Linked DNA regions of Caenorhabditis elegans. The protein of the gene in region 4 interacts with the protein of the main gene of each other region in a pairwise test. Each region holds a gene or a part of one and is shown on either strand. Other genes may lie near its edges. The genes, in order: clc-1, mom-1, unc-57 and let-607.

Region 1 (4,330 bases), on a different chromosome or scaffold from region 4:
CGAACAGATCTACTACATATGATATTTTCGTAATTTGAATTAGCAAAACTCTTTCAGTAGGGATTTATGGAAATTGGAACGTTCGAGAGAAACCAAGCTATGCTAAACCTTTAATTTTTGCCAAGTTGCTTCTATTGCTTATTTTTATAATTTTTTAAAATAATTTGGTCCAGTTTTCAGCGTTTTTTTGATAACTACAGAAATTTTCACTGTGAAATTCAATTTTTTGGTTTTATTTCAAGTCCATCAAAACAAACAAATCCACAATTAGTGTCGTGAACCCGTCGTGAACCCGTGTCGTGAGCATTCTCGATGTTCCAAGTTTCATACGTTTTTTGCAACATGCTGAAATAGACAACATTCTTCTTTTGTATTATAGATTGACATTGGTAGTCTTCAAACTCAAAAAAACCTAAAGGTGGAGTAGCGCTAGTAGGGAAAGAGTGAAAAACTATTCCTATGGTTCCAAAATGACCGAATAGCATAATAAAATGTTTCAAAATTTTTTTGAAAACTTTTTTTTTGTTTACTGTCAAAATGTGAAAATTACTCAGTTTTTGCAACTAATTTCGGAAGTCGACCAAAAAAAGTTTGTTCCTACATTTTTTATCATACTGTAACTTTGTTTTAACTATTTGTAATAGAATATTGTAGTAGTCGGAACATTCGACATAGTTATGGATTTCCTCAAAACTCACATTTTTTTCAAAATTTTGACAACTTGCCAAAACTTTGACCGGAAACTAGAAAACATCTAAAATTTGTTGGAGTTTTTTCTTATGATATTCGGTTGTTTTAGATCATTATAAGTGCATTTAGACGAAATCCCCACTGGTGCTACTCCACCTTTAAAGGTTCGGTTATTTCACATACCTGATACACTTTGAAAAATGTCAAGTCATAAATTCCGTTTATCATTATTGTTTTGGTTATTTAAAACATCAAATAACCTTCTAGTAAATATTATTGTTCAGGCATGTATGATAAAAATCTTGAACAATTTGCTAACGATCTGATTGGAAAATTAATTAGCTTTGATTTTCCAATCTTTACCAAAAAAAAACCAACAATTTAAAGTTATTATTATTTCCACGAAATAAAAATGTTTTCGAATTTTTTATATTTCCAGACGTAAAAAGAAAGTTAGCTGAAACCACCTGTTTCTTGCCAATAAATCAGTTTTTTTTTTAAATATTCACAAAAAAATCATTTGAAAGTTTGAAGCTTGTTTCAAAACATTTTGAGTGAAGCTTACTAAACAAAAGTTTTTGAAAAATGAAAACACGTCACTTTTGTGTTCGCATATACGTGATTCACCGTAAACTCCACTTTTGTAAAACTACGAAAGATACTGGCTGAAATGATAGGAAAATTCGTCGAAATATTTGAGCATCTGACTGTAAGTTGATAACGATTATACGAACTAATCACCGTTTCCATCTGCTCAAAACTCGCTGACTCACAAAGAATTTTAACAGAAATTAAGAAATGGCTCTATGTCAACTTTCAAAATTCTACAACGCCCAACTTGAGTTTCTTATCAACACTTTATTTTTTGGTCTATCTCTTGACTGAATCATACCGAAAACGGTTACATGACGTGTCGAGGAGTTCTACTGATACGAGCAAGCAAACGCTTTATTTCTCTCCACCTCTTTACTTTAAAACTAGCCTAACTCTTGTATATAACACACATTTTTCATATTTTCTATCAAGTTCACGCCGTCCCATCGACATTTAAGGTAAATATTTGAGTGTTCAATCTTATCTATGAAGCATTTTTTTCATTCCAGTTTGTGTGACATAGCACGTTGCCATTCCTTATTTCTTGAAAACTAGTTCGGGTTGTGAAATTTTCTTCCAAAATTGGTCCTTTAGTAATGTAACTTGATACATCAGGTTTTGTGAAAATATTTTGAATGCTTCAAACGACGTTTGTTGTTTTATTTTTCACTCTCCGAGTATCTAAAATCTATTCAAAAATTAAAAAAATCCGTTTTGACTTTTTGCATCTAGTTTTATCACTTCTTCCTGTGTCCCTCCCAAACTTTTACAGCCCAGTTGGCAATGGCGATAAGAAAAACACTGTTTCTGCCCACTTTGAGCATTTATTTCATCATTTTCATATTTTGGTTAAGATGTATAGTTGTCAAATGTGCAGGCTATTTTAGTATTTTGTGCTGTCGTCATTCTTACATTGAAGTGCATTCTCATTCCGTAACTAGGTGGTTGCATAGATGCCACCATGTGTTTGTCTGTCGTCAATAGAAATTTCCATATTTAGGAGAAATTGTTTTCATACTTTTTTAATACTTTTTGTCCGTCAATCTTCTGAAAAAAATATTAAAATTAAAACCATATGTTTCAGGTTCACAATGTGTCTTTCCGGACTCACCCAAATTCTCTATGGACTTATTATGGCTGGTAGTGCTATTTTAACAGCAGTTGCTTTGTTTACGCCAAGTATGTTTCATCTTTGGAGATGTTAGAAAAAGTGAATTTTCAAACTCTCAGGTTGGAATACTGTTGAAAATAATGTGAAAGATATAACTCATATCAACACATCTGAATGGAATGGCTTGATGCCTTGGTCATGTATTGGTCACTCTCAGGGAACCCAGTGTCAGGATTGGTGGGCGGTATGTTGATGAAATTATTTATATGCTCAAAAATACTGTTTTCAGAATCTTCCAGGATGGATGAAATGTGTCGTCGTCTGCATGATCCTCTCTTTGATTGTCCAAATTTTTGCAGTTGTCTACAACTTTTTGACATGGTTAGATTAGCGAAAGCCGACATTAATATAATTCAAACAACTTTCAGCCTTGCCTGCTGCTGCAAGAAATATATCATCCATCCACTCACCCTCTTTGCAGTCATCTCTACTATTCTTCTGCTCATCGCTGTTATTGTTTATGCAGCTGAATGGAATCAATTTACAAATGGAATTAATACAAACTCGCAGGTGAGAATGCTATTCTTAATGTGGGAAAAAGTGTAAAATTATTTGATTGAAACTATTAAACTTCACTAAAACTCTTTTTTTACACATGTTCTAACCCTTTAAAACCCGATTATAAAGCTTTGAGAAACCCTCCCTATCTCACATTGAACAACTTTTTGGCCAATCTGCACATACCCTAAGGCGCAAAAGCTGCTCATAAACCTTTGTTTGTACAAACTCACAACTTAATTTTTCAGCTTGGATACTCGTTTTGGCTTGCAGTTGGAGCCCTCATCTTATCTGCGGCGGATGTCATTTTGGGAGCACTAACAGTGTGTCTTGGGGAACACTGCTGTTAATTAAACTTGATTATATTTATTATTTCCCTGCATTTTCTGTGATATAAACTGCTCAGCCCAGACGTCGGCACCAATCTATTTGTTAAAGCTTTGTAAGATTTTGAACTTGGTTTTTCGCATTTAACGCCGAACTACACTGAAAAAGTGCAAACAAGACTGGCAAGATGGGGACGGCAAAAAATGTAACGGTTTTGTGTTTGTAAAAGGTCTTTTGAACTGTGGTAAGACATGTGAATATGTCTGTTCTTAGTGACACACTGACGTGTCACGAAGATCAGGAGCAATTTTTGTCGATTTTTTTCGACTTGTTGCTCCCAAGTTTGCGGCGTGGGAGGCATCACTACTGAGGCTCGGTCAAAGAACATAGTCAATTATTTCACAGTTTCTTAAGAATTTGAAAAACGCGCGCAGCGAGAAAGATCATTAGTTGAACTCGGAACATAATATGTTAGATGAAATGTAACAATGCCAAGTGTTTGAGCAAAAATTGAAAGATGTATTGTGCAACAAAGGTTGAAAAAGTGAGTCATTGTAAACATTTTGATAGAAGTAAAGATTGGTGAAAATCTTTAGATAGTGACATGAATTCTAAAAAGTTGTTTTTTCTGTGAAAGCAACTGACTGACAATTCAATATATGACTATATACAATATACATATTCCGCTTATTAAAAATGTGTTTTTATTTTATTTTGCACTATTTTTTTAAAATAAACATATTTAAAAATTTGTGTCAAATTAATAGTTTTTATTACAATCACTGAATTCACTTTTTCATGAACAAGACTTTAATTGATACATTAAGAGTTCAACGAAAAATAATTATGAAAACATGAAACAGCTTCTGCAAAAATATATATAATTAAATTCAGATAATAATTTACTAAATTTTTAAAAACCGATTTTTGAGTGGTTGCGGTTCTAAGAAAAATTTACTGAAGTGGACCTGCAAGATGACTGGCACCCAGATTTTTTTGTAGAGAAATTGCTACAAATAATCTAGACATACATAGGTATTTCTCCTGGAG
Region 2 (8,051 bases), on a different chromosome or scaffold from region 4:
AACCGTTTTTTTTTTAAATTTTAAACCACTTGACAGCTGACAGCTCACCGCCACCAATCAACTAAATTTATCAACTGCTCGATAAAAGCTGAAATCTTTTTTCGTTGAGTAAAGTAGATTTGAAATTGTTTGTTTCACAAAATTGGTGATATTTTGATATTATCTTTTAGTGCATTTGATTTTTTGTTTATCTTGCTATAAATTTTGTTATATCTTTATATTGTTTTTTCAAAAAACTTAGGTTTAACTATTTGTGCACTTAAAAAATCTTCTTATTTTATTTTGAACCCGTAAACATAATTTTTTTAAATAAGGAACTTGAAAAAATACATTGTAACCTGCAAACAGGTTGTGAAGAACTCCATTCTTTGTTAGCCTGACATCTTCTCTGACTGGCACCAACTAGTATATATCCCTTGTTGCATCCATATTCTGCATTTGATCCAAATCGCAAATCACCAGCAGTTCGTATAAATCCATTTTCAATATTTGGAAGTGGGTGGCACATTGCAACTGAATAAAAACAAAAAAGTTCATTTTTTATATTGCTCAATAGACAAGATATTTTTATCACTCACTTGGGTTCACACAGCTCAAGCCACATTCTCCGTCGCACATACATCTTTTGTTTCTTTTACAATCTTCGTCTGCTATACACTCTTTTTTGCAATGTTTCGGCCGTTGTGATAGAGTAACTTCCGGACAAGATAGGGCCGACGCGTAGGTAATGGAGATGGCGAGTAGTAGTAGAAATCGCATTTAATTCATGTGATTTGGTACTATGAAAATTTTAAAAGAGAAATCCGCTTGAGTTCTTGCAAGACGGCATTCTTTCACCAGCTGACACGCAATGTATTGATTGATTGGGGTCTTTTCAAGGGTTCCCATTGTAAAGTTGCTCGAGTATCATGCTTGTCTGATCAATTATTTGCTGCGGGACATTGTGGCAAATAGGAACTGACTGCTGAAAAATTAGAGGTGAAGGTATTTTGATGTGATTTTTGCGGTTTTCACAACTTTCACAGGGTTACAGAAAAATCTTTATTTTTTTATTTTATTTTTCTCCAAAATTTGAATTCAAAAAAGGGGAGAATTTTGAGAAATATCAGTGAAGAAATACAAGTTTATCGCAGGGGCGACAAATCATATTTTTTGGCAAACGTCCTATTTGGAAATCGCCTTTTAGGTTTGAATGATTGTGGAAGTTTGAGATTTTGCAAAAAAATTGGTAGACTGAAAAATATAAAAAAACAGGAAACAGGTTACAATTGTAAATGTTTTGCTTATGAAAAATCCCTTAAAAAGTATTTGGCAAATTGAGTTTAGTTTCGGCAGATGGCCGAAAATGAAAATTTCTGTCAAATCGCCGCACTTTTAGAACAATAATTAATGCTTGCTATTTCAGAACTGTTTCCCCATAGTTGAATTTTAAAAAAAGTGCAAAAAACATTCTCGAAATGGAATAAATTGGACAAGTGAAAAAATCATTTTGAAAAATAAAAAAATATCTGGAGGTATGGGGAATCGAACCCCAGACTTCTCGCATGCAAAGCGAGCGCTCTACCCCTGAGCTATACCCCCGTACGGCATTTGAGTAAGAGACGCAAGTGAATATACATACATTTTCTCTCTCACCCATTGACAAACTGGTTGCCTCCCCGCGAGGTGTTCCTGTGAAGCGGGGGGGGGGGGGGTGTTCTGCGAGTTGTTGGTTTGCTGTTGAGATGAAGAAAAATAGCTTCTCGCGGACGAGAAAGTGCAGCTAATTTCATTTTTTTTTTTTTGGAAAATGGTTTTTTATTGCTCTCTATTATTGAGAAAACAAGAGATGATCTTAAACATTATTTTTTGCAAAAACTGTTATCTTGTCTTTTTTCATTTTAAATATGTAATTTGTAATTTCATCACATATCTGTAAAATGAACTCATCAAACAATAGTGCTGACCGTTGTAAAAATGAACCGCAATCTCCGAAATAAAACTTTAATTCTTTTAGGGACACTCAAATCTTCCCCCAACAAAACTATACTTTTTTTGGTTCCATTTGTTTGATTTACCATGTTACGCTTAAATGTACTTCACTTGACCGATCCGACCATAAAACTTTGGTTGCATGTCCAAGGCACATCTGTTGTGTGTGACCTCTCCCCACATTCCGGCGTAGCCTCGTTTACATTTGTCCCCTTTTGTTAGACGCAAGAACTATGCAAATTCGCTCTATTTCACTCGTACAGACAGTTGTTTTTGTTTTGGTTTGAATTGGGTTTTCTGGGTTAATTCTAGGTTTTTTCTAGCTTTTTAGTTTTTTTGCCGTTTGGTAATCGTTAATATTTCATCAATTTCAAAAATTTTCAGAAAATGGATAATGGTCACGGGTATGAAGAATTCGAATTATTAGAAGATGGATCGCTTGGAGAGTGCTCGACACAAGTGGCAAATGCAACATTTCTCACAATTTCAAAGTTGATATGTTTGGTCGTTGCATTCAAATTCATCAAACATATACGTAAGTTTTGATAAAAATATAAACTGAGACAAAAATACCTAACAAAATGTTTTAAAAACTTTGTTTCAAACAAATTTGTTTCTAATTTGTTGTTATGTTCAAATTGGAAAACACATGTGCTTGCTTTATTAATCTTGCCAAAAAAAAAATGACTAAAATTTTCACAAAGTAAGACTGATCTAGCTAGAGATAAGAGCTCCATGGTGAGACGGTAGTCTTAAGTGGAGTAACGCCAGTGCGGAAATTGTTAAAAACGACTTCTATGGTGCAAAAATAGCCAACTATTATATTAGCACTTTACGAAACTTCTTATTTTGTTTCAATAAGTGGTAAAAACTCAGTTTCTGCATCCATCTTTAAAAGTTGTCTATTGAAAAAATTTCCTTTGAATTTTATGTTCTTGTTTCAAACATTAATATTTAAACATTGTAGGGATTCGAGCATGCGACAGTGCTATATTTATCTCGAATATTGGCGAAAACTCAAAAATTGCCACATTTTGACAGTCAGAAAAAAGGTTCTAAAATTTTTTGAAAAGTTTTAACATGATATCTGGTCATTTTAGCACCACAGATGTGGTTTTTACATCTGCATACTCTTTTAGTAGTGCGGTTTTATAAACTAATTAACTAATTACTATTAACTAATAATTAACTAAATTAATAAATAATTAACTAATTACTAATAAACTAATTAACAAACTAAATAATTAACAGAGTTTCCTACTGGATAGAAAATTTTATCCACAGAAAAATGTTTCATAATTTGATAACCGATGTTTCAAATTATGTATGTATTGAAAAACATACTAAACCTATTATTTTAGAAGGAAAACGTGAAAATTTCGAAACCAAGTCATTCATTCGTTCGGGAATTCAAAAGTTACTGAGTATTTTTATAGTTGCAAAATTTAAGAAATCATAGTAGTAAATCAGTTTTGTGTGATTTTTTCAAAAACTGGTCAATTTCAGTCTTTTAGCAAATTAATTCCCCTTTTTGTAGCAATTTCAACAACGGTTCGTGTCTATGTACATGTCTTCGCCAGTACTTTCACAGTTATGTGGTTTTCAAGAAATCACCTACAATCGGCTATCATTTACAACATGTTCAGTTTGATATCGCTTGCACTGGCCATCAAACAATTTAGTGGATACATCATTCTTGCAGGGAACATCTCTCTTCTGATTGCATTGTAAGTATTTTTTTTATAAGTCAAGCGTTTGTAAAATTTGTGGGACAAATTAAAAAATTTTTAGGCAAAACTTCTGCCGACACTACAGATCCGAAGACTACTTTTTGTCCATTCGTGGAATTTTGATGATCCATATAATGAGACTGACCACGGTTGCCTTCAATCTGGAAAAAGCGAATAGCAACAAATTCCGATTTGTTCAGTTTTCCAGTTATGTTGAGTACATTTACTTCCCACCGTTCATCATTTTCGGGCCCTATTTGAGTTTTGAGCAGTTTTTCAAAATGAGAGACAAAAAGTGGACAGGATCTGAGGTTTGTTGTGAAGTTTTGGGAACTAAGTCGTAAGACTATTAGTAAGTTCTAAGTGTCAAAGTGTTAAATACGTTTCAAAATTTTTAATCAGAAAATTTTAAACCATGGCTACAGTTTTGAATTTGATTTCAGAGTTGACCTTATAGGAGCGCTACTTTTGAATAAAAAGTGTAACATAACTACAAACCAGCCTCCGATTGCTGTAAAACAGAACTGTCAGCAAAATAGGAAACTTCAATTAAAATTTGGCAATTTTTTAAAAAGTTTCGAAACCCCTAAACGTTTTTAGCAATTTGTAAGAACTTCAATTATGACGTTTAGTTTTTCGGGGACTTTTGAAGAATAATAATAAAAAATTGACCCGTGAGTCCTCCTTCAATTAAAAACCCGAGATTTCATTGGTAATAATAAGAATAATATATCACTATTTTTAGAATGAGCTCGGCTTCATTATTCAGTCTCTCCTTGCAATCTTCAATGCGATCACTCTGGCAATCATATCTTCGTGTCATTTTGAATTCTTCGAACCTTCATCTCAATTTATGGAAGATGCTCTGACAGCTATGTCGTTCCGGTTCAGTCACTATTTTGTCTGTCTAAGCACTCAAGGTAGCCAAACATTCTTGTCTGTTGAAGATAAACTGACATGTTTTTTCAGCATTTGTGTTGATGTTAGGATCAGATGTAGTCGTTGCCAATCCATTGAATATTGAATTCTCCAGATCAACATTACAAACGGTCTCAGAATGGAACAAACCATTTCATACATTCCTGCATGAAAGTGAGTAAATTTATTTTAACAAATGATCGGAAGTGAATCTAATCAACATATAATACATGAAGTCATGTTCAAATACACTATTTTTTATTGACTTTGAAGAAATCTTCTACGTATTGTTATTTGATTAGGGTTTTCTTCCATAGTTCGTTGTTGGCATCGGACAACAACGGCCAATAGAGGGCAATCAGGTGACATCGGGCAATTAGCGGGTTGCAGCAGGCTATTGGGGTCGGGCAACAGTGGGATGTTGCGGGTGAATAGCGGGCCATCTAACCTCAAATTATTTGAAAAACGTCGCCCGTTATTTCTCACCTACTTGCCCGCTATCACCCGCTACTCACCCGATAGTCACCCGATAGTCACCTACTGATATTCCGCTACTTGTCCATTTTTGCCTCATTCACTGTTAATGCTTGCGTAAGATCTATAAAGCAGATTCATTTTAATTATTTGAAGAGCTTTTTTTTTTAATCAACAAACTTAAAATTGGAAACAAACGATACATTTCGTTTTTTCAGATATAATATTTTTCAGATATTTTCAAAAGGCGGTTGTTCAATTCCACTGCATGTAACGTTTTCTTCACGTTTGCAGTCAGCTCACTTTTGCACGGTCTTGACTTCCAAATGACCATTACACTATTGGCTCTTGGTTTTATTGCCTATTCGGAAACTGGTAAGTGAATTAAGAGATTTTGCGGTCAAATTGAGGTTGAATTTAAAGTAACTTTTATCTATGTTATATGGAAACAATACATGTAATTTTATATATTTCAAAAGTTACTGCAAAATGTCTCTACTCCACTTGTATAGTTTAAGATTTTTTTTTCAGTTTTCCGAAAACGACTTTCTGCCCGATACTCAATGTGTGTTGCTGCCAAAGCCTGCCCTGTCCGTTCAAACAGTCTTTCCTGCAAGCACAGACACTCAAACGTGAGTAATTATTTTAAGCGAAGGGACACCCAATCGATTGCCCATTTACATTTGGCGCAGGGGGTCACCATAGATAGGTATCGCGCAGGGAAGATTTACCGCCTTTCGCTTATTTAGTAGGGCACGCAAATTAGTATGCTTAACTGTTAGAAACACGATAAAACACGAATAAATTAACCACGGGCCCTTTTTTGGACACATTTGGAGTTTGCAAATATCGCATGGTTTATAAATTTAAGAATTTGCAAGAGTTGTCCAAAATAAATTGAGCTAACAATAATTTTGAACGTTATGAAACGTTATGATCAAAACATGACGTTATAAATAGTTTTTTGTCAGAAAGGGTATACGTTCCAAGTCAAAGTTTACTTTTCTGAATTTAGACTTTTTTGACTTGATATTATGATAACGTTTAATGTTTGTAATTTGAAACATACTTTGTTTTACTACTACATGTTCAGTGAGTTTCAAAAAATAACAACAAAATCATGATACTTGTTTCATTTTACGTTTTATTTTCATTCAAAGTAGCAATAGAATTTTGAATGAACAAACCCAGAAAAAAATCAAATTTCTAGGAAAAATCTACATATTTGGAATAAAACTAACTAGGCAATGGTCAAAACACTAAGTGGCCATTTAGCCCAAGACGTAGTTAAGATAAATATTAAAATGTAAAGAGAATATTAAAATCAAAAAAAAAATCTTGAAGATAACAGAATATTTTCAAAGCCTGAGTTATAACACATTTTTTAAAGTTAGGTTGTGTGGAAAAGTCTTCTTCGAAACTGCTTATTTCAATATGCTAATTTGAACTTTTAGAAAAAAAAACCATTGAAATGTAGGATATTGTTCGTTTAATTTAGAATTAACATTTACTTCTGTCTAAAATTTTTTAAAAAGACGTCGAATAGTGCATGTAAATTGTAGCTTACCAAAAACAAATTTTCAAAACAATTTAGCTGCATATGACAATTTTATGACACTTTTGAGACCTTTTTCGAACTGCAATTAGAAAATTTATTTTAGCTCTAACAAACGTTGTTCTACATTTCTAAAAGAATTTTTGATTCATATCGTTAGATTATGAGATATGGCTGTTTAATTTCAAAAGTTTCACATTGCCGGACACTAATTAAAACCAAATCCGAGCCACGCCACCAGGCTCATAATCACAGCTCATTTCTTGTATTGCTCCACACGTTTCATTCAAGTTTCCATTTGGTAAAATATCATGGTTTCTTTCCAAATTAATTCCTTTTTTGAAGGAAACACTAAAATTGTTAACTTATTTTACAGAAAACAGGACGTGCTTTGATCATCAATTTGTTCTTCCTTATGCTTTCCATGTACCATCTTGTGTTCACTGGAATGACGTTCACCGACGACTATTCTGCAATTGGCTATCCTTTTGATCACGCCTGGAAGATTTGGGGATCTCATTACTATTCGAGTTTCATGATTTCTTTCCTATTTCTTGCCCTGTCTAAAATAATCTGAGGTTTTGAAAAGCTGAAATTCAGTTGTCAACATTTTTCAACAAAACCGTTTTCTATGCTTTAGTTCTCAGTCCTGGCCATGTTCTCTTACGAGCTAAAACTAAAAATCTATTTTTTCTGTTTAATGACTCAAACTCGGTTAAGAATTTTTCTTTGCAATTGTTTTAGTTACGATCTTTTCATCCTATGAATTATTCATTCCGCGTTGTACAGAAGCATACATTTTGATTTGCAAAATGTATTTACTTGAAAGTTAATCACACTGTGAAACACATTAACATCCATGTGAAAATAATAAAAGAACACTTTGGTTTTACACTAGTTTGCTTAAAAAATATTAGAAGCGTTGAAATATAAACTTGCGTTGTAAGCACGAAAACGGTCAAATAACCAATTTTAAAAAGATGACAGGGAATGTGGCGTGTCATGAAATTGCATGTCTAAAATCAGGAGCAAAGAGTGAAAATTATTATCAAAATATCTCAACTTTTAGAAAACTGCAACAATCAGTAAGAATTCACATTCTTTCTCTATTAGCTAATAATTCATTTCAATTTCCAATTTACTCATGATAAAGGTCTAGACTTCTCACGTTTCTAGCCACATATACATTTTATGTAACGAAACAGTGACGGTCCATAAGTTGAAACCAACTGCAGTAACTCGTCGTTTGCGTGGCGACACCTATGCACGTAAGATCTGACAAAAATACTCCTCTCCAAGCGTCTACCAAATATCAAAATTAGTTTGGTAAATAAAATAAAAACCAAAAGAGTGTATGAGTTCGCGTCTTTTTCTGGGTAGTTGATAGCCAACATTAAAAAATG
Region 3 (7,110 bases), 1.9 Mb from region 4:
GCTGACGTCACATTTTTTGGGCAAAAAAATCCCGCCTTTTTTGTAGATCAAACCATAATGGGACAGTCTGACACCACGGGATAACTTACACTGAAAAAATACTTAATTGATGAATAACAATTCGAAATGCTAGGTATGGTAGTTGGAGTAGATTGAAAGAGTTACATTTCTGAAACTTATAGTTTTTGATCTAACAAATAAAAATTAATTTAATTTACCTTCTTCTGATTGGAACAACTTCTACCTTTTTTAATTCGATTTGAATTCCATAGTGAAGAAAATGGACGAAATGATAGTTGCATTCGTTTCATGTTCAAAAAAAAATCGATGAGATATATGGTGCACAGGTATGAGAGCAGATGGTGCAAGTATATGACGTCACTAATAACATAACTGGGTGTCTGTTTACAGTACTCCTCGTGGACAATATAATATTCCGGATATTTCGAAATTTCGTTTTCATTTCAGTTTTTTATTGATTTTCTTGTTCATCCACTTCTTTTTTTAAACAATTTTAAAATTGATAAGACAAGAAATTTGACTTTTTTCCATCTCCGAGTTCAAAAAAAAAATAGTTTAAAATCAAATTCATATACTCGAAAATAAGTAATTACGAAAATAAGTAATTTTGCAATGAATTTTTTGATGTTGAAAATAAGTTACTAAATAAAGCTAAAAAAACTAATAACATGCTGCTATTTTAAGGGAGATTTGATAAATGCACATTTTTGGTAGTGTAGAGAGTACATAGAATACATGGTAATGTGGGTCAGGGTATTGCTATTGGAAAACGCATCGGGTGTGGCAGACTGGGGGAAAGTAGTGGATGTATATAAAGCAAGTAGTGTTTTAATAAATACAAAGATTTCGGCACAATGGATCAGGAGAATTAACTATTTTAGCCTCATAGAGACCATAGCCCATTCTCTTCTAAATGAGTACTTTTCAGGGGTTCCTAGAGAAAAAGTGAGATTTGGAAAGGGAAATAAAATATTTTTGTGAAATAAAATTCAAGAGACAAAGATGAGGAGCATGGCTTTGGAGTTGGGGAGAAAACGAGAAATTGGCAATAAAACAGCAAAAAATGGAAAGAATTGACTGGGTTTTGGAGGGAGAAATACATTTTTTTTTATTTAAGAGGCACTAGAACCTGTACATAGGTAACAGGGAATAATCCAGTTTTTCCATTCACACGTCCTTCGTACCAATTCTCATCAATTTGTGATACCAACTCAATCAGTGTTCCTTCTTTGAAATCCAGTTCTCCTTCACTTTGAGCATCAAAATCGAATAGAGCTCTGCATTGTGGCTTCTGCTGCTGGGAGAGTGGAGGTGGAAGTCCACCTGGTGGAGGTCCTTGATATGATGGTGGTGCTTGTGTTATTCCTCCTCCATTTTGTGGTGGCATCTTAAACTGGACATAATATTAGAAATTGGATTGAAAATTGAATTACTAGGTTTTTATTCAAAAACAAAATATTCTAATCAAGGGTATCGCTTTTTCGATTTTTTAAAATAAAAATTGAAAAACGAATAGTTTCGATTTAGAAAATTGATTTAAAAAATTCAATCTTCAAATTTTTTATGCTGATGGGAAAATACACAATTCTCTTATAAAAGTAACTTATTTTCAACAAACAAAAAATTCGACTTTAGAAAATTGGTTTTTTTTAATTTGTAGTTTTTTTTCGAGAAAATTTACCCGTTTTAAGAAGAAAATTGACTTTTTTTTTTCATCAACCAAATTTTTAAAAGTTTGAAATTTTTTGTCAATTTTCCCAATATTTTTCCGATTTTTAGGATTTCCGGAAAACCGAAAAATCTGGAATTTTCGTTTTTAAATTTTTAGTTTTGTCGGTTCGAATAGAAATTGATTTTGCGAAAAATTTCTTTAAAAGTTTAGACACTTCTGTTTTTTTAAAGAAAAATTATATGTTTTTTATGAGAAAAAACTAAAAAATTGAAATATTTGGTTAATTTTATCCAGAAAATTGATCAATATTTCGGCTTTCTGAAAAATCAAGAATTTTCAGTTTTCTCGTCTCGAAAAATATCTGAAAAGTTTGATTTTTCAATAAATGTTTCAAAAACATTTTTTAAACATTTTCCGGTCTTTTTACAAGTGTTTTTTTAAAATTATACCATTTTCCAAAAAATTTCAGTAATTGAAATCCGAAAAACTGAATCTCCAAAATTCGTGTTTTTTTTGTTGAAAAGTCGCACTTTTTTCAATTTTTTCTGAAACAAAAAAACGTACGGCTGCGGCTGCCGTAGAATTGTGACTCATATCCGATGGAGCAGGCGATCTGAAACTGAAGAGATGTTTTGGAAGAGGCTTTTAGCATGCAAAAAATAAAAAATCAATCACAATATGAATCAGGGAGTACTGTAGCGGGGGGTACTGTAACGAAATTTAATTCTTATTTTTTTAAAATTAAATTTAGAATGTTTTTTTGGTTGTGTCGTAGAATAATTTTCAATTTTTCGGTTTTTTCAAAGATAATCAAAAATCAAAATTTACGTTGTTTCTTTTAATAATTTTTTTTGAAATTTCTCAACTTTCAAAAAAACTTAAACTAGTCTAGCTTAAAAAACACCGAAAACATTTCAATTTTTCAATATTTTCGTGTCAATCAGTCATTAAACGATCTTTTTACATTCATATTCCTTCCAAAAAAGTATTCCTCCGGCCGTAAAAAGACATAATGCGATGTAATCAATCATAGACTCTGCATGTCTATGTCTGTGCTTCATATGTTTTCCTCCTTTTTATTACTTGTGAATGATGCTTCAGTGCTTTTTCCGTTTCTTAAGAGCACAGGGGGTTTTCTCTTTTTATGATGCGTGGGACCTTTTTAAATCGAAAACAAAAATGGAAAACGCCTAGTTCCGGCTTTATATATTTTTTCGTATCTTTTGAAAAAACTAATTTTCAGGTAGATTTATGAAATAATCTCTGTACTCAAAATTCAAAATTTCTTAAAAATAACTAATTCTATTCTAACTTCTCGTACAATTTTCATGGCGTTTCAAAGTTTTGAGAAGAAAACAAAAATCTAAATTTAGCTTTAAAAAACTTCAATTTTGCCAATTTTTCCGTGCCACAGCGGCCCGAAATTTCAATTAATCCTCCAATATTCAACATTTTTTTTGGTAGTTTATTCAGCTTTTTGGGGCAGCTCCATTTCAATAAAATGTTGGCGAAATTGGAGATTTCAGCTGAATCTCAAAAGTGCATCTCAAGAAATTAGCTGTTTTTTAAAAACTAGGTCTTTTTGAGCGTTCAAAATCTCACAACAAACATGCATTTTCTCACTCTTCATGCTTATACCAACCTGGATCTTGGAGTTCTGCTCTCATTTGCAAGAACTGATAATGGAACATGCTCTTCACGAGGCCTGGCAGCTGCATCTTTGATTCGATGGCCAAGTTGTTGCTGTAGATTTTCGAGACATTGGGCTGTTTGTCGGTGGAAATCGAGTTGGGCTTCAATGAGGGCTCGTAGTTGAGATATTTGCTCGACCTGAAAAGAATTTTTTTGTGATTATATCTAAAAGGGGAAGTGGAAAAAAATTTCAGCAGATTAAAAAAAAATTAAACTTTGACAGCTTATATTGAAAGGAATTGTATAAAATACTGATTAAAAACATAGTATAGAACAGGATCAAAATTCGAACAATCCTCGTGGCCTATGATTTCGCTAGTTAAATTTTGAAGGTTTTTCGTTGATTTTTCTGACATAAAAATTCGAAATCTTAACGGATTTTTCCCGTTTTTCTTTTGTTATATTCGTAAGTTTGAGAATAATCCTTCTTAAAAATAAAACTAAGGGTAACCGATGTCAAATAGCAAGTCTAATAGGGGAAAATAGTAAAAACTTCCAAAAAAAAATCGTAAAACTCACATCATTACTAAGCACATTGAACATTGACATTTCAGCGAGTCGCTTTGATTCTTCCAGCTTCTCCTCCGCCTGAATCATCTCATCATCACGTCGTTGCTGACGCTTTTTGCAGTCGTAGTCAAGTCGACGTCCTTTCAGTTTTGTGCGGTGGTGCTGAATAATGAATTAATAATAAACCCTTTTTTACGCAAAAAAGCTTACATTCACATCTTTCAGCTCATTATTCTGCAAATGTGTTAATGGATCGAGAAAGTTTTGTTTAACATTATCCTCCATTTGATACTTGATATCAGCCATTTGTCGATACGTTTCTGCAGCATCGTTTAGGCTCTGGAATTGAAAAAAATTGTAATTTAAAATTATGATTAAGAAGATTTTGAAGCCGTGCAAAAAATTTTAATCTAAAAAATACCGAAGTAGTGGTTTTCTAATATCAACCTAATGTTTCAATTAAATTATTAATATAAACAAAATAAATAGTAATTTTATTTTTGCTGTATTTTGGTCACATTTTCAGAAATTGCTCACAGAACAAATATTGACAAATGTTGCTAAAAAATGGGTTTTTTTTCAGAAATTAAAATTCCAAAAGGGATGGCAAACCTTTCCCAAATCGCTGTTATCACCCAATTGTTGTCCATATTTCTGCATGACGTCAGCCAACATTCCTTCTGTTTGTGGATACGGTGACGTTTTTGTAGTTCCACGAACTTTTGACAGGGCAACTTGTGTGGCCATTTTTGCTCGAGTAGCTGGATTTGGTTGAAGATATTCATTTGTTCCGGCGACGAGATCCGTAATTAAATTATACGTTGTATCCACATTTTTCTCCATTTCATTGAACACATCGTCAAGTTTTGTTGGCTCTGCGGCGCCCATCGTCTCCGAAAGGTATTGATTCGCCTTGTTGAATTGCTTACGTAACCCCGACAACGACATTTTTCTGAAAATTTTGAGTTTTAGATTCGGAATAACATGTTAATTAATTGATAATTAAAACAACTGAAAATAAATATTCAAAAACCAGACTTATTTTCCTTTAGATTTAAAACACTTGGGAATCACGGTGAGCAAGATTTGAAAGTTTCGATAAAATGAGCTTCTTGAATTCTTGGAGTTTCGCCTGTGGATTTTTTATTTTAAATGAAAGAAAATACCACTTAAAGATCAGATAAAACTGTTGAAAAATTATAAATTCTAATGATTTTGTAATAATAAATTAAAAAGTGTAAAAATAATTTCCACCCTTGTTTCAGCAGTTGGAATACAGTTTTTTTTAATCAAAATATTTATCTTTATTGTATATTTTGGTCGGTTTTCTAGAAAAATTTCGATTATAAGCAAAATTTGGCACTTTTTTCGGATTTTTCATCAAATTTTGAAATTTAAAAACTATTTTTCATAGGTATAATCTGGTATTTTCTATCAATTAAAACAAAAAAATCCACAGACCCTCAGGCTGTATGTAAAACTTTGCATTAAACCTTAAAACTGAGAGAACTAAAGGTTGAACATTATAAATTCATGAAAGAAACTGTGCAGGAAATCTAAAATAAAACTGACATCAGGTAGATCGCTACAAACTTTTTCAAAAGTACAACTCGAATTTTCAGTTCGAAGATAAAATCCTCAAAAGTGCAGTTTTCTCGGAAAAAGCATTCCAAAAAGAAATGCTAATGTGAATGATCTTATGATCTAGGATTTATTCTGATGTACACTTTTATGGTTATAAAGCATGAGAATGAGAACTGAAGGAAGTTTTAAAAACTCTAAATTTCAAAGAAAACAAGTTCCCAGTAGAAAGGTAGAGCTTCAGAAAAGTTGCAAGAAGCAATTAAAGAAAAAGCCTGCTTCGGAGCAAGAGAGGTAGTTAACCATTAACTAGACCTACTTTCGTATTCCGGAAAAAGGCGGGGACACACACACACAACACAACGCCGGACTCTAGTAAAAGGAGAAGCACGGGAGAGAAAGATGGGGGAGGAGAAGCCGTTGTGCACGGAGAGCTCCACCCCCTCATCTTCTTCTTCGTCTTCTTCTCTTCAACACCGCCAACCCCACAGATGTATCGATTCAGTTATTTTCGTTTCGTTCCTCTGTGTCCTCCATCCTCTCTGCCTTTCATTTTTTTTCTCCGACCTCGGGCGCCCTCTTTCCGCGCGAAAAGAGAGAGAAAGATGAGGAAAAACTCACACAGACACACGAAACACACTACTCTCACACATAGTTCCAACCGAAGAGAGCACCCCGAAAAAATAGAAGACGTAGATTACGTAAAGCAAAGAAAACTGAGACGAAGAAGACGCCGTTAGTGGTGGTGGTGTTGTGGGGGAGGAGAAGGTTATTCTTTCTTTTATCTATGTGGCAGATAGAGGGAAAAAAGACGAATCGGTGTATATTTGCTTGTGCATGAAAGACTCTAGCCTACCCACTACTTAATGTTTGTGTGTGTGGATAGGCATAATGATTGGGCACACTCAAGGGTTGCTACTTGGAAAAATCTGGAAAACAATTGGAAAAGTTAAATTTTATCCCGACAGAGAGCATTTGTTGGATAATGATTAACGAAATTTCACTTTCCTAGCATAAAAAGAGTTTTAAAGCTAAATATAATTTAAATGCAGCTTTTTAAAGACGGGGTTGCTTAAAATGCTAGAAAATGGAGCATAATGGTCGAATTTTAAAAAAGTGTTTAAAAATTTATAAAATTATTCTAAATTTCAAGAAAAAAAACCAATGATTTTTCAATTTTGCAAAAAAATTTATGACATTTTCTCGTAAAGAAAACTTGATAACCCGAAAGAAAATCTTCAAAATTGGTCTAAAAATCGATAATTTTACATAAATTTATAATTTTTTATGGAAAACTGAAAACTTGAGAAATGTTTGTTCATTTTTTTTACATTATTGAATTTATTCGGTCCATTTTTATAATTTTAGGCAAAATTCTAACCCTTATGTCTACCAAGATTATGCTTTTCATGCTGTTTTTTATTTGTTCATGAAAAACTTGTTTACAACTGGGTAAAATGATTTTAAAAAATTAAAATTTGAAGATATAATCGATATACAAGTTTTGAAAATGACCGCTTCCAAAGAAGGAATATGGATTTTAATGATTTTCCAGCTCTGCAAGATTTCTGGGACGAGCTTTTTTCTTCAAAAATCAGGGAACTACTAGCAAGAGATTGACAACTAAAAAAATA
Region 4 (5,317 bases):
GGCGTAGAGACATTTGAGGGATGGTATTTACAATAGTAAGGGACCAGCAAGTGTTGTATGGAGAATGATGCACGTAACATTCGGTAGTAAAGTACCAGAAAGACCTTGAGCAGTCAGATAGGGATGGACCAATAAGAAAAACAAGTGGTTTTCTTCAGACTTCCAAGGACTTGTCTAAGGTTCCATGTTCCAAGGACATAATGTCTTGACTTTTGAGAAGGTGGGTGTGAATTAGGAACACTGCTGTCGTTTAGGTGACATCTAGGAAATCAAAGTTCCAATTCGAATCGGCTTTTCGTGAGATATTCTATCAACTAATCTAACGTGGGCCGCAAAGAGAACGCTAAAAAATAAGAATGGTAATAAAGTGGTTCTCATATCTGTTTGATTACTCTAGAATTTCATTTTGATCCCCTCTAGATCAATTGAGATTTCAAGAACACTTGCCGCCTCCAATTACCCAGCAGGTTACCCGGAGACATGACGTCCGCAATGCGATAAACTGTATTCGTTTTTCTCCAATCAAATCTCGGAAAGGTTATTGCGCCATCTCTTTTGCTTCTTTTGATTGAGACGGATGACATGCCGACATTACCTTTGGGTTATCCGTTTAGGTGCGCTAATCCCACAAACAGATCGCGCAAATAATATAAACTGCCATGAGAACCAGTGAAAGATGAGCCGAAATTATCGAAGGCCACGTACAAAATAGTTTTAAAAATATATATAGCAGCATGAAAACTAGATTATAGCCTTGACGCTAAAAAACGGTACTCCAGGCAAAAATATTAAAAGAAAAAACCGATTGAAGTAATGACAATTCAATGCGAATTTGGATGTATTGAAAGTTTTCGTCCAACACTATTTCCCAAAAACCTCTACAAAACCAGAATATGACGGTATTCGTTCGTCGATCACACTTTTCACTGTTGGTCAAGTACTACTATTACTACTTCAGCTAGCCGGACAAGAGAACACAGAAAAAAGAGGAATAGTGCGTAATTCATACATATACCATACATTCATAACAGAGACGCAAATGACTCATGGATACTGTCGGGTTTTGTGAAAGAGAGCAATGATATTTATACAGGTACGTACATCCTACTTATTATATGCAAATAGAGTATTTTGGTGGATCTAGAATATTGAAATTTAGCTAACAAAACCGTCCAATTTCATCGCAGAACTTTCTATGAAAAAAGTGAAAAGAACCACAGGAATAACTATATTGCAAAGAAAGATGGAGAGGAAAGTGAAAAATAAATATTTTATTGTTGGCCATGAAAAAAATCAGAACAGAACGCAGGCCATTGACGGGAATATTGGAAAACGGAGAATCAGCCGGAAATATTATTATTTTTTCATATTTTGACGCACATATATTTTGTGTAAGTTAAAGATCCCAAGTGTTTTATGGACATCATCTAAATAGATTGTGAGTCTATCCACGCTCTAGTTCCAGTTATGTTCAGAAAAGAAATGCCAACACGAAGAACGGGATAAATAACAATTGAAAAAAGAATTCATACTTCAAACTGAGACATGTCAAAAAACGAATGGAAACTTGAAGCAGAAGAAGCCAAAGGAGTGGATGTAATTATGTAAACGAGTGACAAGAAAAAAAACTATACGGAATCTGGGAAACAGCAAATTTTTTTCGAAAAACAACAATACTAACTGGCTTCATATACTTTCAAAGAGGTAATCGTGGAAATTACTCATAGATACCGTACCCTAGTTGTCATTACAATTTTTTTGATTTTCCGGTTGTGAGCACACTTCAAAAACATAAAATTTTCTCCTATTTTCAAATCATATTTATAAATAAGAATTAATCTTCAAACCAAACAAATACAATGTTTTGATTATCTATGGAGATGGAAAATGAGATGAGCCATTTCGGTCTAATGAGCACGTGCTTTATTCAACTGATATTTTATTTACTGACATTCCTATCGGATTTCAATGAAAATAGAGGATAGTTTTTAAAATTGAAGATATATGTATGTTTCATAATTGAGCTATTGAAAGGCTAAATTAATTTTTCAACAAAGAACGCACAATATTTCATAATTTTTCGAGTTATGGCCCCGGAACGAGAAAATCTGAATTTCCAAAATCTTTCAACATTTTTAAGTGATATTCTCAAATAAAAGTTCCTAAATCTTCAAAATCCGTTCACTTTTTCCTCATCATTATCGCACCGAAACCGGGCTTCATCCTCTTTTCGCTGTCACTTCATCTTCGAAAACCGTATCAATTATAATCTCGTCGCGTCCGCTTGTCCACACACTTCTGGCTTCTTCTCTACTGCTTTCTGGTCATTATATTCATTCTCTTATTAGGAAGTGAAAAGAGAGAAATAATGTTTCTCTTCCATTCCAAGTTCCTCTCTCTCTCTCGGTACAAACTTCCTTGTTCGTGTAAATCGTTTGTATTTCTACACAAAAAGGGAATCACTAACGGTATGTAGATCTTGTTATTCAATGCGGGAAAGATGACGGAAAGGAAAATGAGAAGAAGAAGAAGAAAGGAGAAGGTTCGAGAATAAGTTAAGAAAACTTGTAGAATAACAAGTCGTTCACCACAGGAAACCGGTTTTACAAAATCGGAAAGGATTACATTTATGTACAGATATTCGAAAGTTTAGGGGATTTATAAAATTTATGATCGATACGAAATAGTTCTAGAATTCACGAATCCCTTTTAAGACAGAAATTCCATAATTTTTTTTGAATTTTTGCTATCGAGTATTTAGTGTAAATTATCCATTTTCAGCCCAAAACTGGCTGCTATCCGTTGACTAAAATAAATGTCAAGAGCTTTCTTTCACTGAATGTGGGCGGAAATGAATGCAGAAGCGAGCAGCAAAGAAACAGTGAAAAAGAAGCTGAAAAGGGAAGTGAAAATATAATTTGGATTGAGGAAACGAAAAGATGGAAAGAAAGCGAAACGGGGAGAGCAGCTAAAAACGGCTATTCCATAAACAGAGCTAGAATTGAAGAAGAAGAGGAAAAAAGAGAGAAAGTCCTGAATACTGGACTCTTTAGTGGAGGAATGACGCGAGCATTTGAATTAACAACGTCACTTCGTTTGTTTTTTTTTTGTTGGAAATTTAAATAATTTTAAAAGATAAACATTAACTGAAAACCCACCTTCTTCAGATTTATGGAGAAGAGAGCGTGGCCACGTGGCAAATTTTGAGATGAGAAGACCGCTTGGGGAAGTTTCTGAAAGATTTGAATGGATTAATATTATATTAATCTGAAAATAACGAAGAAAACACAAATTCAACGTAAATATTTGAAAAAGAAGCCTCGACAAGTACCGTAATGCGTTTCTAAAGGCGCACGGATTTTTTCGGATGGGTCTCGCCACGAGAAAAACAATTTGCGGAAACTTTTGCGGAATTTTTTTCAAAGTGGACACTGAAAACACCAACAAAAAATCATTTGAATAAATCTCTGAGTTTCAGAAAATTGTGAAGGATATAAAAATTATTATGTCCAATTGCCTTTTTTCCTTTTCCATATAGTTTTCTGAATTTTTGGAGACCCGAAGAACTCGGGGGATGTCCTATTGGGGGATTACCAACTCGGGGGATTGGCCCCGCCCACAGAACCGTGGCTTGCAATACGCCCATTTTTGCAACTGCCGCACGGTTTTAAAATTATTTTTTCTTGTTAATTCTCGCTCTATTGAGAAAAATACAGTTTTAAAACCGTGCGGCAGTTGCAGAAATGGGCGTATTGCAAGCCACGGTTCTGTGGGCGGGGCCAATCCCCCGAGTTGGTAATCCCCCCAATAGGACATCCCCCGAGTTCTTCGGGTCTCAATTTTTGTATGCTCGATTTTTTTCTCAACAAAATAATTTTTCTTATTTACACTTTGTAAAGTTTATAAAATGTACATTTACTTAAAAACCAGAAAAATATTCTGAAGATTTAAAAAACGATGTAATTCTTTAAAATCTATGATCTGCTGATTAAATCCTAAAAAAATCCTAAAATTTTCTGTTAATTAAAAGGTCAGGCCATGTAGCCACGTATCTAGGGCAAGGTCATGTAATTTTCATGTTTTTTGCTTCATCAAAATTCGATCAAACACGTATTCAAAGTCAACGAAAAATAGAATTTCACCTAGTAATTTCGATTTTTCTCAATAAAACTGGGTTCGTGGCACAAATAGGTCATTTTAACTGAGTGATGCTAAAAAACGATAAGGAAAAGGCGAGGTTTCTGGAGTTTTCAAACGAAAGTGACATCAAAATGCTAGCAACATTTTCTCCAAAGAATTTTCGAGAAACTATAATGAAAAATGTCACACAGAGAGAGCATTAGAAGAAACGATAAGATACTAAATCAAGAGAGTTTGAGAAATTAAGAGACGCAGAGAAAACCAATGGTTTTTCTCAGTTCGTCCCAGTAAAAGTCCGATCAAATCAATCTTTTGCGAGCCGTCAGAGTGCTCCGCAGATGTGCTCAGTGTGTCTATTGGCCAAATGTCACCATCAATTGACCCTTCAAAAATGTTGAGCAACTGACTACAGAGCTCATTCCGGAGCAAGAAAAAAAACATAAATAGCAAATAGAATATGAGTCATCCGACAGGTCATAGTAATGAATGAAATATTTTCTCAGTGCAATATAATTTTATTCATACTAATTTAAGGATCTAAATACATAAAAATTTTCAGACTATAAACAGAATTGAATAGTAGGTAATTGGGAAGAAATTGGACAAAAGAATACTGTAGAAAATATAGTTCATAGAACTTGAATATTGAAATCATTGTACTTGAATCTAGATCTTCTGAACAATCGAGACCCCAGTCATTTCAGCTGGTTGAGGGAGTCCCATAATAGCGAGAACTGTTGGAGCAACATCACAAAGGGCCGGATGACGGTCGGCTGGCTGTAAACGTGTGAAGTGAATAGCTATTTACACCCGTTTGTAAATTAATATTTTCATTTAACATATGGGTTTCTGTTTTTTTTTAAATAAAAATTTCAAACGTTTGACAAAAACTCACATCGACAAATTTGAATCCTGGATGGCTCAAAGTGAGTGGAACACGGTAACATGTGTGAGCAGTGTGTTTTCCACCATCTGGAGCCTTCATCTTTTCAGCATTTCCGTGATCAGCAGTAACCATAAGTGAGTATCCGTGCTTTTGAGTTGCTTCATAGATTCTTCCGATTGCGATATCAGTAGCTTCACAGGCCTTGACAGCAGCTTCATAGACTCCCGTATGCCCGACCATATCTGGTGGAGCAAAGTTGCACATAATGAATGGATGAGTTCCAGCCTCGAG

The links.
Region 1: the proteins of let-607 (region 4) and clc-1 interact in a two-hybrid assay, tested with the Caenorhabditis elegans proteins (one large-scale study listed by BioGRID).
Region 2: the proteins of let-607 (region 4) and mom-1 interact in a two-hybrid assay, tested with the Caenorhabditis elegans proteins (one large-scale study listed by BioGRID).
Region 3: the proteins of let-607 (region 4) and unc-57 interact in a two-hybrid assay, tested with the Caenorhabditis elegans proteins (one large-scale study listed by BioGRID).

The regions. Positions count from the first base shown.
Region 1 is NC_003284.9:11,045,868-11,050,197, forward strand, and holds clc-1 (Claudin), read left to right. Parts: upstream 1-1,578; 5' UTR 1,579-1,742; intron 1,743-2,368; 5' UTR 2,369-2,375; coding exon 2,376-2,463; intron 2,464-2,514; coding exon 2,515-2,639; intron 2,640-2,684; coding exon 2,685-2,776; intron 2,777-2,823; coding exon 2,824-2,965; intron 2,966-3,201; coding exon 3,202-3,303; 3' UTR 3,304-3,408; downstream 3,409-4,330.
Region 2 is NC_003284.9:6,290,769-6,298,819, forward strand, and holds mom-1 (Protein-serine O-palmitoleoyltransferase porcupine), read left to right. Parts: upstream 1-2,343; 5' UTR 2,344-2,358; coding exon 2,359-2,506; intron 2,507-3,508; coding exon 3,509-3,698; intron 3,699-3,762; coding exon 3,763-4,012; intron 4,013-4,446; coding exon 4,447-4,621; intron 4,622-4,670; coding exon 4,671-4,793; intron 4,794-5,327; coding exon 5,328-5,468; intron 5,469-5,624; coding exon 5,625-5,725; intron 5,726-7,024; coding exon 7,025-7,225; 3' UTR 7,226-7,537; downstream 7,538-8,051. Other genes in the region: Protein lev-9, read right to left, coding at 331-513, 579-759.
Region 3 is NC_003279.8:4,672,872-4,679,981, reverse strand, and holds unc-57 (Endophilin-A homolog), read right to left. Parts: upstream 4,848-7,110; 5' UTR 4,844-4,847; coding exon 4,508-4,843; intron 4,235-4,507; coding exon 4,106-4,234; intron 4,058-4,105; coding exon 3,905-4,057; intron 3,524-3,904; coding exon 3,336-3,523; intron 2,313-3,335; coding exon 2,258-2,312; intron 1,415-2,257; coding exon 1,130-1,414; 3' UTR 575-1,129; downstream 1-574. Other genes in the region: T04D1.2 (F-box domain-containing protein), read right to left, coding at 90-169, 219-311. UniProt on the Caenorhabditis elegans protein: Involved in synaptic vesicle (SV) recycling in neurons probably by regulating clathrin-mediated endocytosis. By controlling SV endocytosis, regulates the rate of excitatory postsynaptic currents (EPSCs) at neuromuscular junctions and thus locomotion.
Region 4 is NC_003279.8:6,571,920-6,577,236, reverse strand, and holds the start of let-607 (CREB-H transcription factor homolog let-607), read right to left. Parts: upstream 3,234-5,317; 5' UTR 3,159-3,233; intron 1-3,158. Other genes in the region: ipgm-1 (2,3-bisphosphoglycerate-independent phosphoglycerate mutase), read right to left, coding at 4,807-4,917, 5,036-5,317. UniProt on the Caenorhabditis elegans protein: Probable transcription factor, required during migration of the gonadal distal tip cells (DTC). Probably regulates cell adhesion of DTCs via modulation of expression of genes involved in integrin-mediated adhesion, including tln-1, src-1, and integrin pat-2.